2 linked regions of the Macaca fascicularis genome follow. The protein of the gene in region 2 purifies or fractionates together with the protein of the main gene of each other region. This does not show direct contact. Links are inferred from orthologs where the notes say so. Each region holds a gene or a part of one and is shown on either strand. Other genes may lie near its edges.

Region 1 (6,166 bases), on a different chromosome or scaffold from region 2:
GCTACTCGGAAGGCTGAGGCAGGAGAATGGCCTGAACCCGGGAGGTGGAGCTTGCAGTGAGCTGAGATCCGGCCACTGCACTCCAGCAAGGGGGACAGAGTGAGACTCCGTCTCAAAAAAAAAAAAAGCAAATAAATAAAAATAAATAAAAACAGTTTTTAGGGGAAAGTATGTATTTGGTTATATAGGAAATATTTAACACATAACACTTTCCAAAGTTTCCTGGTAGCACAACACTGTGAATATACTTAATGCCACCAAACTGTACATTACAAATGTACAGTTAAGACGCCGGGCGCGGTGGCTCACGCCTGTAATCCCAGCACTTTGGGAGGCCGAGGCGGGTGGATCAGGAGGTCAGGAGATTGAGACTATTCTGGCTAACATGGTTATACCCCATCTCTACTAATAGCCGGGCATGGTGGTGGGTACCTGTAGTCCCAGCTACTCGGGAGGCTGAGACAGGAGAATGGCGTGAACCCGGGAAGCGGAGCTTGCAGTGAGCCGAGATCGCGTCACTGTACTCCAGCCTGGGCGACAGAGCGAGACTCCGTCTCAAAAAAATAAAAATAAATAAATAAATAAATAAATGGTTGGCCGGATGCAGTGGCTCATGCCTGTAATCCCAGCACTTTGGGAGGCCGAGGTGGGTGGATCACGAGGTCAGGAGATCGGGACTGTTCTGGCTAACAACACGGTTAAACCCCGTCTCTACTAAAAAATAGAAAAAATTAGCTGGGCGTTGTGGTGGGCACTTGTAGTCCTATCTACCTGGGAGACTGAGGCAGGAGAATGGCGGGAACCCAGGAGGCGGAGCTTGCAGTGAGCGGAGATCACGCCACTGCACTCCAACCTGGGTAACAGAGCAAGACTCTGTCTCAAAGAGATAGTCAATTTTGTGTGTATCTTACTGCAATTAAAAAAAAAAGGTTTCCTGGTCGTTCTACCTCACTTGACTGGCTGGTCCCTTGCTAGTCCACATATGGAAGGAGGCATTCTATAGAAAGCACATACCTGCTGGCAAAGCTCCCTGGTAGGACACACAATCACTGCAATTGGTCCATCACCTGGTTCCAACTCCTTCTGGTCCATTATATGAATCAACATGGGCCATATGAAGGCTGCAGTTTTCCCACTACCTGTTTTAGCAATACCAATCATGTCTCTACCACTCAATGCCACAGGCACACCCTGGAGAAAAAGTAAAATATAACCACTCTAAAATTTCAATTCTAAAGGTGTACTGAAGCAAATCCTGGGGAAGGATAAATGACTACTAATGACATTTTTATATGCAATGGAACAAAACATATCCGGTGCTATGCATACTGGTTGTGAAATAGAAATATCAATATCCAACATTCTCATTAACTTCTTAATTTATAGGAAATGACATCATTCTCATTATGTGGATATCAGCCACCACTTACAGAACTGAAACAACTCCATTTTGTTTAAAATACAGAAATGAAAAATCAAGGCTGGGCAGTGGCTCACGTCTGTAATCCCAGCACTTCGGGAGGCCGAGGTGGGCAGGCTGCTTGAGCTCAGGAGCTCGAGACCAGCCTGGGCAACATGGTGAAACCCCATCTCTACTAAACTACAAAAAATTAGCCAGGTGTGGTGGCATACGCCTGTAATCTCACCTACTCGGGAGGCTGAAGCAGGAAAATTGCTTGAACCTGGGAGGCAGAGGTTGCAGTGAGCCAAGATCGCACCACTGCACTCCAGCCTGGACAACAGAGTGAGACTCCGTCTTCAAAAAAAAAAAAAAAAAAAAAAAAAACCAGAAAGATCGCAATTTATAATGAAGGGTTGCTAAAATTTTTAAAAATTTTCTCCCCTTGAGGAGGTATAGACTATCTCATTCATATACAGAAAATGAGAATTTTCTTCATAAGAATAAATAAGTCCCATATATAAATGGGAAAAAGAAGCTAAAACTTTCAGTAATGAATGAGAATTTTCAAGTGATGGACAAGGGAATTCTAGTCATTGACAGCACTAAACTTGTCCATATACAAACCTTTATGGTTACGTTTAGACCTAATAAATTATTTTCTTCATATCATATTTTCAAGATATGTATCAGATACAAAAGAATATTTGCCAGCCATTTAGTGACTTCTTAGAGTAATAAATACCTCTATCCTTATCAATAAGGTTCTACACTAAACAGTTTTACTACTGTGATTTGTTTTTAAACTAATATAGTCACAAAAGATTACCCTACTTTATTTTTCTTTCATTATGTTTTACGTACCTGACACTGTATTGGAGTGGGCTGTGTGTATTCAGATTTCCGAATCTGGTGCATAAGTTGTTCGTCAAACCCAAAATGAGCAAAGCTACTTCCTGGTCTAGGAGGTGCAGCACCAGAGACCTAGAGATAGAGACAACTCCCCAGAATGACTTGTACTTCAACATTAACAGCATTTGAAGTTCAACAATACTTACCTGGATCTAGCATTTTAGCTGGAGTATGAAGTGAAAATACAAGTCTGTAAGCCAAAATCATACAATGAAAAGGCAAAACCTCAAATGGTAACAAATATAAACCCCATATTAAAAACTCCATGACAAATATTCCCAAGATAATTGTCATACAATTTTAAATGATTAACTAAAAATTTATTAAATCAAAATTAATTTTCTCATAACAAACAAAATGGAAAAAAAACTGTTCAATGAATTGGGAAGTCATTACTGTTCTTTCTTTTGCCATTTTACATAACCATTAACCAGAGGGTAGAAAAAAATTAACGTATCTTACTTTTGAAATGAAAATTCCAAGTTGGCTCCAAATAAGACAACTCTACATATGCTGGCTACAAAGACATAATCTACTGCCTCCATTTTCAGTTGTGCCTGATGAATTAACGTCTCCCTTAGTGACTGATGGTCTAGCCACTGTCAAGCCCTGTTCAAACTGTACCCAGGTGAAGAATGGGGCTTATAATCTCCATTGTGTCCCCCAAAGTAGTAACCTTTCAACGCTCCTCTGGTGATGCTGACATTTCCAGTCAGGATTTCACTTAAAAATTTTTAAGTGAAAAAAATGTTAAACGTTTTACTTAAAAATTTTCTTGGGTCATTGGGGAGGTGAGTACCTCTTGGAAAACAGACAAGTGTACACACACCAAATACACACCCCTCCTGGAAAACAGGAGTTTAAACATCGTGTAGCAACTGATAAGGTGCACACAGGCAAGAAAGTTGTCTATATTAAGAGTAGATAGCATAGCATATTCTTTCTGTGTGTTTCATTTACCATCTATCAGCACCTTAAACCAATGTAGCCAATGTGCAGCTCAAAACTTTTGGTAGGCAGTTTAAACCATTCTGAAATCAGTGCATGTGTATTTTAAAAGGTATTAATTTATTCTAATTTTTAAAATAAAGCATACTATATGTAATTTGACAGACAAGTTTATATTAATTTCAAAATATTCTAAGATATCATATGTTAACATCTATTAATTTTGTTTCCTCTTCCTTTAGATGGGGACTCCCACCCTTCATCACTAGCCCATCCAGCACAGAACATACAAAATTCACTGAAATATGAAAGAAGAAAATGATCTTATCCTAAAACAGCATCTAGAAGACTAAAACAATCAAATTAAGAGACGTGAACAGAAGGGACATAATAATTATTCTGGCAAAGACAGTTCAGAGATCACTAGAAAAGAAATTCAAGGTTATTAGTTTAGATAACCAATAATAATACTAAATCTGGACTAATTAACATTGATATAAGAATACTGAGCTTAATGATTGTCTTACCCGAAGATTGAGCTTATGTCGGAGATCTATTAACTGCTGTGGAGTGAGGTTGGTTATCTCTTCATGCTCATTGTAAAAGTTTTTTTCAAATGGTGGATAGTCAATCTGCAGGTCCAATTATTCAAAGTTAGTCTAGAATTCAAGAGTCAATTCTGTAAGTTTGACTTTAATGCAAAATAATCTTTTCCAAATAATACACAAGTAAAGCCATTCCAGCTAGAGAAAGCAAAAAAATTAATTTATTCTCAACTTAGATCCTAAAAAGTACAGATAATTTGTTTTCTGTTCCTATTTTCAATATAAACACCAACCTACTTCTTTTTTTGGTTGACACACAGTCTCGCTCTGTCACCCAGCCAGTAGTGCAGTGGTGCAATCCTGGCTCACTGCAGCCTCCGCCTCCCAGGTTCAAACAATTCTCATGCCACCTCAGCCTCCCAAGTAGCTGGGATTACAGGCATGAGCCACTGTGCCTGGCCTAACACCAACCTACTTCCTAAAGAGACTCTTAAGGAAACCTCGAATTTGAACAAGCTTGAAGGAGACTAAGGAATCTCTATAATGCCAAAGACCTCAGAGGACAGAGAAGATATTTCACCATATAACATTTAAATATGTTTTGAATTAAGCTGTTTAACCTAGCTCTAAGCATTTAAAAACATTCCTAATATTTCTTTTGGAGATAGTTCTGCTTTTAGAGGGAGTTCTATTCTGTTTAAAAACGTGGAGCTGTTTGTAACTTTTAAAAAATGTATGGCCAAGCATTTCCAATTCCAGAGAGAGTAGTAGTCACTTGTATTATTCTTTTCATAGCTTACTGTACTAGGTATACAAAACATAAGCACACCACCACCTATCAATTTGGCTAAATTATTTTTTATAAAAAAAATTTTTTTTTCAGTGACAGGGTCTTGCTATGTTGCCCAGGCTAGACTCCTGGGCTCCAGTGATTCTCCTGCCTCAGCCTCTCCAGTAGCTGGGACTCCAAGCATGCGCCACCATGCCTGGCTCTTAAAACTTCTTTTTTAAGAAAAATATAAGCACTCTATAGGCAGTTAAAAAAAAAATCATAATTCTGGATACATAAAAAAAATTGGCAAGAAGAGTGACACTGTCTTGTATTTTCACAAATCTCTTTATTAATGTCTAACTTAAATAGCTCATACAATATTCAAATTGTTGCAATAGCTTGGTTTTATTTAAGCCTATAAGAAAATCTGGCCTCCAGGCCAGGAGCAGTGGCTCATACCCATTATCCCAGCACTTTGGGAGACTGAGGCAGATGGGTCACTTGAGGTCAGGAGTTCGAGACCAGCCTGGCCAACATGGTGAAAGCCCATCTCTACCAAAAATACAAAAATTAGCCGGGCATAGTGGCACACGCCTGTAGTCCCAGCTACTCGGGAGGCTGAGGCAGGAGAATTCCTTGAACCTGGGAGGAGGAGGAAGTTGCAGTGAGCCAAGGTCGCGTCACCGCACTCCAGCCTGGGTGACAGAGCAGGACTCCATCTCAAAGAAAGAAAAGAAAAAATACGTAGTTGAAAAAGGGAGGAGAGTATTTTAGTAGCCTTTTCAGATACTTTTTTTTTTTTTTTTTGAGATGGAGTCTCCTCTGTCGCTCAGGCTGGAGTGCACTGGCACGACCTCAGCTCACTGCAACCTCCTCCTCCAAGATTTCAGTGATTCCCCTGCCTCAGCCTCCCGAGTAGCTGGGATTACTGATGCCTGCCACCAATCCCAAAGACGGGGTTTCACCATGTTGGCCAGGCTGGTCTCGAACTCCTGCCCTCAAGTGATCTGCCCACCTTGGCCTCCCAAAGTGCTGGAATTATTATAGGCATGAGCCACTGCATCCAGCCCTTTTCAGATACTTTTTATTTTACACTAAAACTTGACAAGTGGTCATTTCCTAAAAGTTATTTTCATTGTGTAATCAGAAACCATATTACTGAAGTTTTTACACTCTGTAACATTATAATCCATTTGTCTATCATGTATTTTGAGTTGAGCTTTCATTCACGCTTGACTTTGTAATGTCATATGTAGATCATTTGGAAAATATTGGTTCGCCGAGGTTACATACAGATCATCCAAATGTTAACACATTTCATTATATTAAAAATCAGTTATTAATATCACCATCAATTTTGTCACAACTTTAAGTACTGAAAAGCTATCAAGCCTACTGTGGTAGATACAAGTTTTCCAAATTCTAAGTTTTGCTTGAAAGCTTGACTTTTTTTTTTTTGAGATGGAGTTTTGCTTTTATTGCCCAGGATGGAGTGCAATGGCATGATCTCAGCTCACTGCAACCTCTGCCTCCTGGATTCAAGTGACTCTCCTGCCTCAGCCTCCCGAGTAGCTGGGATTACAGGCATGT
Region 2 (6,733 bases):
GTAGCCACCGCCGCCTCCACCACTCTGGTCTTGATTGCCATAACCACCACCACCACCACCACTGCCGCCGCCGCCACCGCCGCCGCCGCCACCACTACCACCACTCATGGAGGATTGATCTTGGCCATAGCTACCTGTGAGAAAAAAAAGGATGGTTTAAAAAAAAAATTGTAAAGTAGCACAAAAAGGTATGACAAGTGCCAGGCAATGAAGTACAAAAGAAATTAAAAAGACAGCTAGGAAATAAAACAGGAACCCTTTTAGGCTAAAACAGAATACAAATCCTTATAGAAAATGGGCTGCAGACAAAGCTGAGGACATCTCACCTCCACCTCCACTACCACTGCTGCTGCTGTTGTACTGGTTCTGCTGTCCATAGCCCTGAGGGGGATTATAGCTTTGCTGCTGTCCATAGCTTTGCTGCTGTCCACCATAGCTAGGCTGCTGGCCGTAGCCCCCACTCGGGGGCTGCCCATAGCTGCTGGTCTGAGAACTGCTACCGTAACTAAGGAAAACAAACAAAAAACACAATCACAATCCCAGCATAGCCCCCCAATTTCCTTTTAGTGGATTCCATTCTCTGTACTCAACACAGGCTCCCCTACCCCAATTATACCTCTAAACTGCTCCTACTGCTGCTGGTCCCTTTATCATTCCTCATCAATTCACCCCTCTTTTCAAGCCTTCCCCGACATCGACACCACCGTACCTTCCCGAGGTGCTGCTGGGAGTTGGCTGCTGGCCATAGCCAGGGTAGGAGGACTGCTGCCCATAAGAAGATTGGGAGCTCTGGCTACTGCCATAGCCGCCAGTCGAGCCATATCCCTGGGGAGCTGACTGAGTTCCATAGCCTGCTACAAGAAAAAAGAAGTCACAAAAGCCACCAGGAAAAAGAAAATGTAAGAAATGTGTTAAAACATATACAACCTAATACCTATACTCAAAAAGTCAGCCTTTCAGAAGCTGTTCATAATCTTGCAACTCATAGTTACCCTCCTTTCAAAGCCCAAAGTTAATGCTCCAACTTCTATCCTCTCTAAGACAGTTCCAATTTAACCCCGCCAACCCCAACACCCTCTAATCCCAAGCCCAAGGATTCCTGTTAACAGCACTGTGATATGCAGCTGTGCATGCAGTTACGTACAGGACAACCACCTTTCTTAGTTACACTTCAGGACCTTGGGGCAATCCCACCTCCTTATGTATCACATGATTTCATACATTTGTTTCAAGCATAACCATTTTCTCCATTTAAGAATTGGCCTAAAACTGGTTCTCCCGTTAGAAAATATGCTCTTTCATGCTGAGATGGGAAATGAGAGTCATAAAAATTAAAAGCCAAAGAAAACAAATGTAAACAGAATCACAAACCAAAAAACATTTTTGTTTTTTGAGATGGGGCCGCAATACACTGCCCAGGCTGGAATGCAGTCGCTGTTCAGTCACTATCATAGCTCACTGCAGCCCCAAACTCCTGAACTCAAGGAATCCTCCTGCCTCAGACTCCTCAGTAGCTGGGACTACAGGTGTGCCACAATGCCCTGTAAAGGACTCAGATCCCAAAGAGTTTTAAGAATTATACACTCATTTAGGGAAAAGAAATATGGAAGAGTTTCAACACTTCAGTCCTGCTCAGGTTTAAGAAAAGGGACATTCAGGGCGTGATGGCTCACAACTGTAATCCCAGCACTTTGGGAGACTGACGCAGGTGGATCACAAGGTCAGGAGTTCTAGACCAGCCTATCGAACATGGTGAAACCCCATCTCTACTAAAAATACAAAAATCAGTAGGGCGTGGTAGCAGGTGCCTGTAATCGCAGCTACTCAGGAGGCTGAGGCAGGGGAATTGTTTGAACCCGGGAGGCGGATGTTGCAGTGAGCTGAGATAGCACCATTGCACTCCAGCCTGGGCAACAGGATGAGACTCCGTCTCCCAAAGAAAAAGAAAAAAAAGAAAAGCAATATTCAGAAAGAGCAGGAAGAGGTGACCTGCTGAGAAAGACTCACTGCTCTGGCTCTGGCCGTAAGAAGAATAGCTGCTCTGGCCATAGCCTGAAGTGTCCGTGGACTGGCTGTAACCGCTGTAACTCTGCTGTCCGTAGGGCTGACTGCTCTGCTGGGAATAGCCCTGCCCAGGCTGGGTGGGGTAGGCCCCATAGCTAGATGAAAGGAAAACCAGCGTGATCAGAAAACACAGCTTGACCACCCTTCCCCTCTACAAACTCTGGAAGCCCAAAAACAGCACTCACCTTTGGGTTGCTTGTTGGGTATAATCTGCAAAAAAAAAAAAATACAATCACATTATCTTCAGCCGCCACTCTGAAACAGTTGAATTAAAGCTAAATTCCTTAACTCAAGCACTGATGAATAAATAGGACCACACAGGCCAGGTGCGGTGGCCCACGCCTATAATCCCAGCACTTTGGGAGGCCGAGGTGGATGGATCACTTGGGGTCAGGAATTCCAACCAACATGAAGCCCCATCGCTAATAAAAATACAAAAAATTAGCCGGGTATGGTGGCGCACGCCTGTAATCCCAGCTATTTGGGAGGCTGAAGCAGAAGAATCGCTTGAACCCGTGAGACAGAGGTTGCAGATCGCGCCACTGCACTCCAGCGTGGGCGACAGAGCGAGACTCCGTCTCAAAAAAAAAAAAAAAAAAAAAAGCATCACGTTTCAATAAAGGGCATAAAATTCCCCCATTGAGACACTGGTTGAGAAGAGTAGCAAACTGGCCTATCAGCCAAGTGTTCTTACAAAAAAGAAAAAGTGAAGAAAATGCAAGTTTCTACAGAGTCCCAGAAGCCTTAACCGTTGGAAAAACCAAGGTCTTGGTGGACAGCCACAACTTTCTGCAAGACCAATTCATGTCAGTGATTGCTCTAAAACATCGCGCATTCGCTTCTTCCACTCTATAACAAAGCCATTATTGCCAGGAGTCAAAACAGACTAACTCGCCCAAAGTCGTAGAGCTACCAAGTAGCACAGGTCTGAATTCGAGCAGTGTTCAGATTGTGGCCTCTACTCTCTCAGCCCAGACCCACAGAAGAATGTCTCAAAAAAGGCCATTCTGCACTCTTTGACCAATTCCGGAGAAGAAGTGGCCTTTTTAGTGCAAAGCCAGAGAATCAAGAGCCCTTGGACCCCAAATGACAGAGATCATCCAAGTGCTCGCCTTAAGAGGCCAAAGTCAACAGGTACTCGAGTCCCCAGCCGTGGGGCTCCAGATGGTTCTGTTTTCTCATCTACCCTGCCTTCCCCTGGGCGAACCAAAAGCAACGAAAGCCCTTTTGAAACGCCCCACTTTAAATACACGAACAAGATCAACTCATCCTCCCAGCGCAGGAAACGCGGCGCTTCCCCCGCAGGAAAAGGGAAAGGACCAGGAGAGGGTGTGGCCTCGACGGCTGTTATTCTCCGTCCCAATCTCAGAAAAAAGAAATTTAGACCAGGCGTGGAAGCTCACGCCTGTAATCCCGACACTTTGGGAGGCCGAGGAGGGCGGATCACCTGAGGCCAGCAATTCGAGACGGGCCTGACCAACATGGTGAAACCCCGTCTCTACTAAAAAACACAAAGATTAGCCGGGCTGTGGTGGCAGGCGCCTGTAATCCCAACTACTAAGGAGGCTGAGGCAGGAGAATCACTTGAACCCAGGAGGCGGACATTGCAGCAAGCTGAGATCGCACCACTGCACTCCAGCCTGGGCGACAGAGGGAGATCTTGACTCAAAAAAAAAAAAAAATTGGGGCGGGAAAAACTCTCGGGCCAGGTCCCCGAGTCCGTTGGTGGAACCACGACCACCTCCTCCAAACCGTTAAGCCGGAGCGCGGCCCAGATACCGAGCCTCCGCCCCCAGCCGCGTGGCAACCGAGGCGGGAATGGAGCGGTCCCGCCCCTTCGCGAAAGACCACAGAGGAACAAGGCTCACACCGGACGCGCGCCGCCAAGTCTTCCGCGAAGGGTCTCGCGACAAAAAGCTGAACCGACACGAGGCGGGGAAGGGGTACCCGCGCCGCGAAGGGGGAGGGGCCCGCAGAGCGCGTGCGCGCCGCGAGTGCCCGGATGCAGCACTGCGACAAAGCGGGCCTGAGCGCGGGGCCGGGAGTTGGGGGAGGCGAGGCCACGGAAACCGGGCATTTTCCACCCTCACCTGATGCTTCAAACCCCTAAGAAGCGTCCCTCCCAACGACCACCCCAAGCAAACGGACTGCGAAGAGAAGACTTGCCGCCCCGCGCGCGAGGGCCAGAGGAGCGAAACAAAATGGCGACACCAGCCTCCTCCAGTTACCCCTCTCCGCGGTTTCCCGCCACAGGGGCACGAAAGAATCCCACACAGGATCGCCACCCCGGTCCCACCTAAAATGAAAAGCCTAGGTGGGAGGCCTCGGCCCGGTGCGCCGCCGCCGCCGCCGCCGCCTCGCGCCCTTACCTACCGTTTGAGGCCATGTCGGCGCACGCGCGCACAGCCAAGCAAGCAACAAGATTCCAACAACGCAGAGCACCGACGCCTGGAGGACTGAGCAGCCCCGCCTCCTGCGTCGAAGCTTAAGTACGTCCCGCCGCCTACGCACCGCGCAGGCGCGCACCAAACGCGGAAGAGCAGGGGGAGGAAGGAAAGCGCTCCGCCCCCTTCCTAGCGCAGGTAGAGGTTCCGAGCATGCAGATGGGAAACGAGCTAACTAGAATCATGCAAATACTATACATAATGATATTTTTTGGGGAAGAACCCCTCTCTCCTCGGCAGGACTAGCCCACGATCTAACTCCACCCCCATGAAGGCACAGTGGTACGGCCTGAGTGCCCGCTGGGGGCGGGGCGGGGCGGGGCCGGGCGGCTGGGGACAAAACTGGAGTCACCGCCGGGAGTCGCGGGGTGGAACCGACATTCCTGTGGCCGGGCCTCTTCGCTGGGCCCCGCTTTCACCCAGGACGGCGAGCTCCTGCCCTCCGCCCTCTTGCCGCTGTATGGGGCGCCTTGTCCCCGCGGCTCCAGCCTCCCTCGTCGTCAGCACACTGGCCCTGCGCCCTGGTGTTGACTTCGTCGTCTTTCGGGGTTGCCTTGCTTTTCGGCCTTTCTGAGGTTCGGGAATTATGACGTTTGACCTGAAAGACAGCAGGGATTTCGGCCGGAACCCCTGAGCGCCGAGCTGGTCCAGCACTGGGCTCTCACCCGGACCCTCGCGGCTTTGCCCCTGGGGAGCCGCGGGGCGGAGCAGTCCAGGCCATCCTTGGGACAAGAGAGGGTTGGCCTCAGATGAAGGGCCCCCCAGCCTTTGCTCAGGGACCTCCTTTTTATTTTTCTGAAGCCCTACCAGGGAACCAGTGGCGATCCCAGAAATAAAACGTGTACAAGGCTTAAGTGGTTTCAAAATGCACAGATAATTTCCTTCTCATCAGTCTTACGAAGGAGGTAAACATATCTCCGTTCTGTACATAAGAAAAGTGAGACTCAGAGACCCAAGTAATTGTGCCTGATTACAGGGCAGCTAGGAGGAGTCGTGATTCGAATCCAGGTCTTGTAACTGCAAAACCTCTTTTTGGTGGCATGAATGCTAGAGTGTTTGGTTGCCTTTCCACTTCCTGTGAGAGCAAAAGCAGAAAGAAAAATTCAAATTAACTTGCAACTTGCACTTTCATCAGCCTTGCCTGGAGAAGGCAATTTGAAACTACTGAACAAAGCAAGACAAAAGACGTTAATTCCTGATACATACGCATGCAGGTTTTCCTTCCCAACTTAACTTTCAGCGGGATTCCGGAAGGTCTTTTGAGGGTTGGACCTTTCCTTCTAGAGAAACAATGAGGGCCATGTCCTGGGCCCCCCCCCCCCAGCAAATTAAGCCCCACTAAGCCCTTGACTTCAGCCCTGATGGCCCTGAATACGCCAATATCCACCCCACCCGCGTTGGAAGGAGAGTTCAACTCTCCAGTGAGAGCAAAAGAAAGGAAGTCCACCCTCATTCATGCATTAAGTCACAAATATTTATTTAGCACCTAGTATGTTCCAGGCACTGTTCTGGGCACTGGGTATGCATTAGTGTACAAAGCAGATGAAGCTAACATTTAATAATAAAGCTGACCGGGCGCGGTGGCTCACACCTGTAATCCCAGCACTTTGGGAGGCCGAGGCGGGCAGATCATGAGGTCAGGAGTTTGAGACCAACCTGGCCAATGTGGTGAAACTCCGTCTCTACTAAAAACACAAAAATTAGCCGGGCATGGTGGCACGCACCTGTAATCGCAACTACTCATGAGGATGAGATGGGAGAATCGCTTTGAGACGGGAGAATCGCTTAAACCCAGTAGGCGGAGGTTGCAGTGAGCCAAGACGTGCCATTGCACTCCAGCCTGGGCGACAGAGGAAGACTCTGTCTCAAAACAAATAATAATAATAAAGCTGACATTTAATAATGATATACATTGTGCTCATCTATAATATATGATAGCTAACACTTTAACAAGACTTACTGTCAGGCACTGTTCTGACTGCTTTGAGTAAATTCTTGATTTTATTTTTCACAACAAAAGGCTGATGTGAGGATGACATTTTATCTTTTTTTTTTTTTTTTGAGCTATGGTCTCTCTCTGTCACCCAGGCTGAAGTGCAGTGGCACCATCTCAGCTCACTGCAACCTCCACCTCCCGTGTTCAAGCGATTCTACCACCTCAATCTCCTGAGTAGCTGGGAGTACAGGTGTGCGCCACCACACCCGGCTAATGTTTGTATTTTTAG

The links. Proteins that work in one complex are often made in the same cells at the same time.
Region 1: the proteins of FUS (region 2) and DDX42 purify together in Homo sapiens (affinity purification with mass spectrometry; 3 studies listed by BioGRID and IntAct, with this or other methods). This does not show direct contact. The link is inferred for Macaca fascicularis from reciprocal best matches to the Homo sapiens genes FUS and DDX42.

What each region holds. Positions count from the first base shown.
Region 1 is NC_088390.1:70,308,106-70,314,271, reverse strand, and holds part of DDX42 (ATP-dependent RNA helicase DDX42), read right to left. Parts: intron 3,892-6,166; coding exon 3,787-3,891; intron 2,384-3,786; coding exon 2,264-2,383; intron 1,192-2,263; coding exon 1,015-1,191; intron 1-1,014. UniProt on the Homo sapiens protein: ATP-dependent RNA helicase that binds to partially double-stranded RNAs (dsRNAs) in order to unwind RNA secondary structures. Unwinding is promoted in the presence of single-strand binding proteins.
Region 2 is NC_088394.1:29,366,296-29,373,028, reverse strand, and holds the start of FUS (RNA-binding protein FUS), read right to left. Parts: upstream 4,527-6,733; 5' UTR 4,451-4,526; coding exon 4,438-4,450; intron 2,275-4,437; coding exon 2,250-2,274; intron 2,160-2,249; coding exon 1,990-2,159; intron 855-1,989; coding exon of another isoform or gene 852-854; coding exon 710-851; intron 506-709; coding exon 327-505; intron 135-326; coding exon 1-134. UniProt on the Homo sapiens protein: DNA/RNA-binding protein that plays a role in various cellular processes such as transcription regulation, RNA splicing, RNA transport, DNA repair and damage response. Binds to ssRNA containing the consensus sequence 5'-AGGUAA-3'.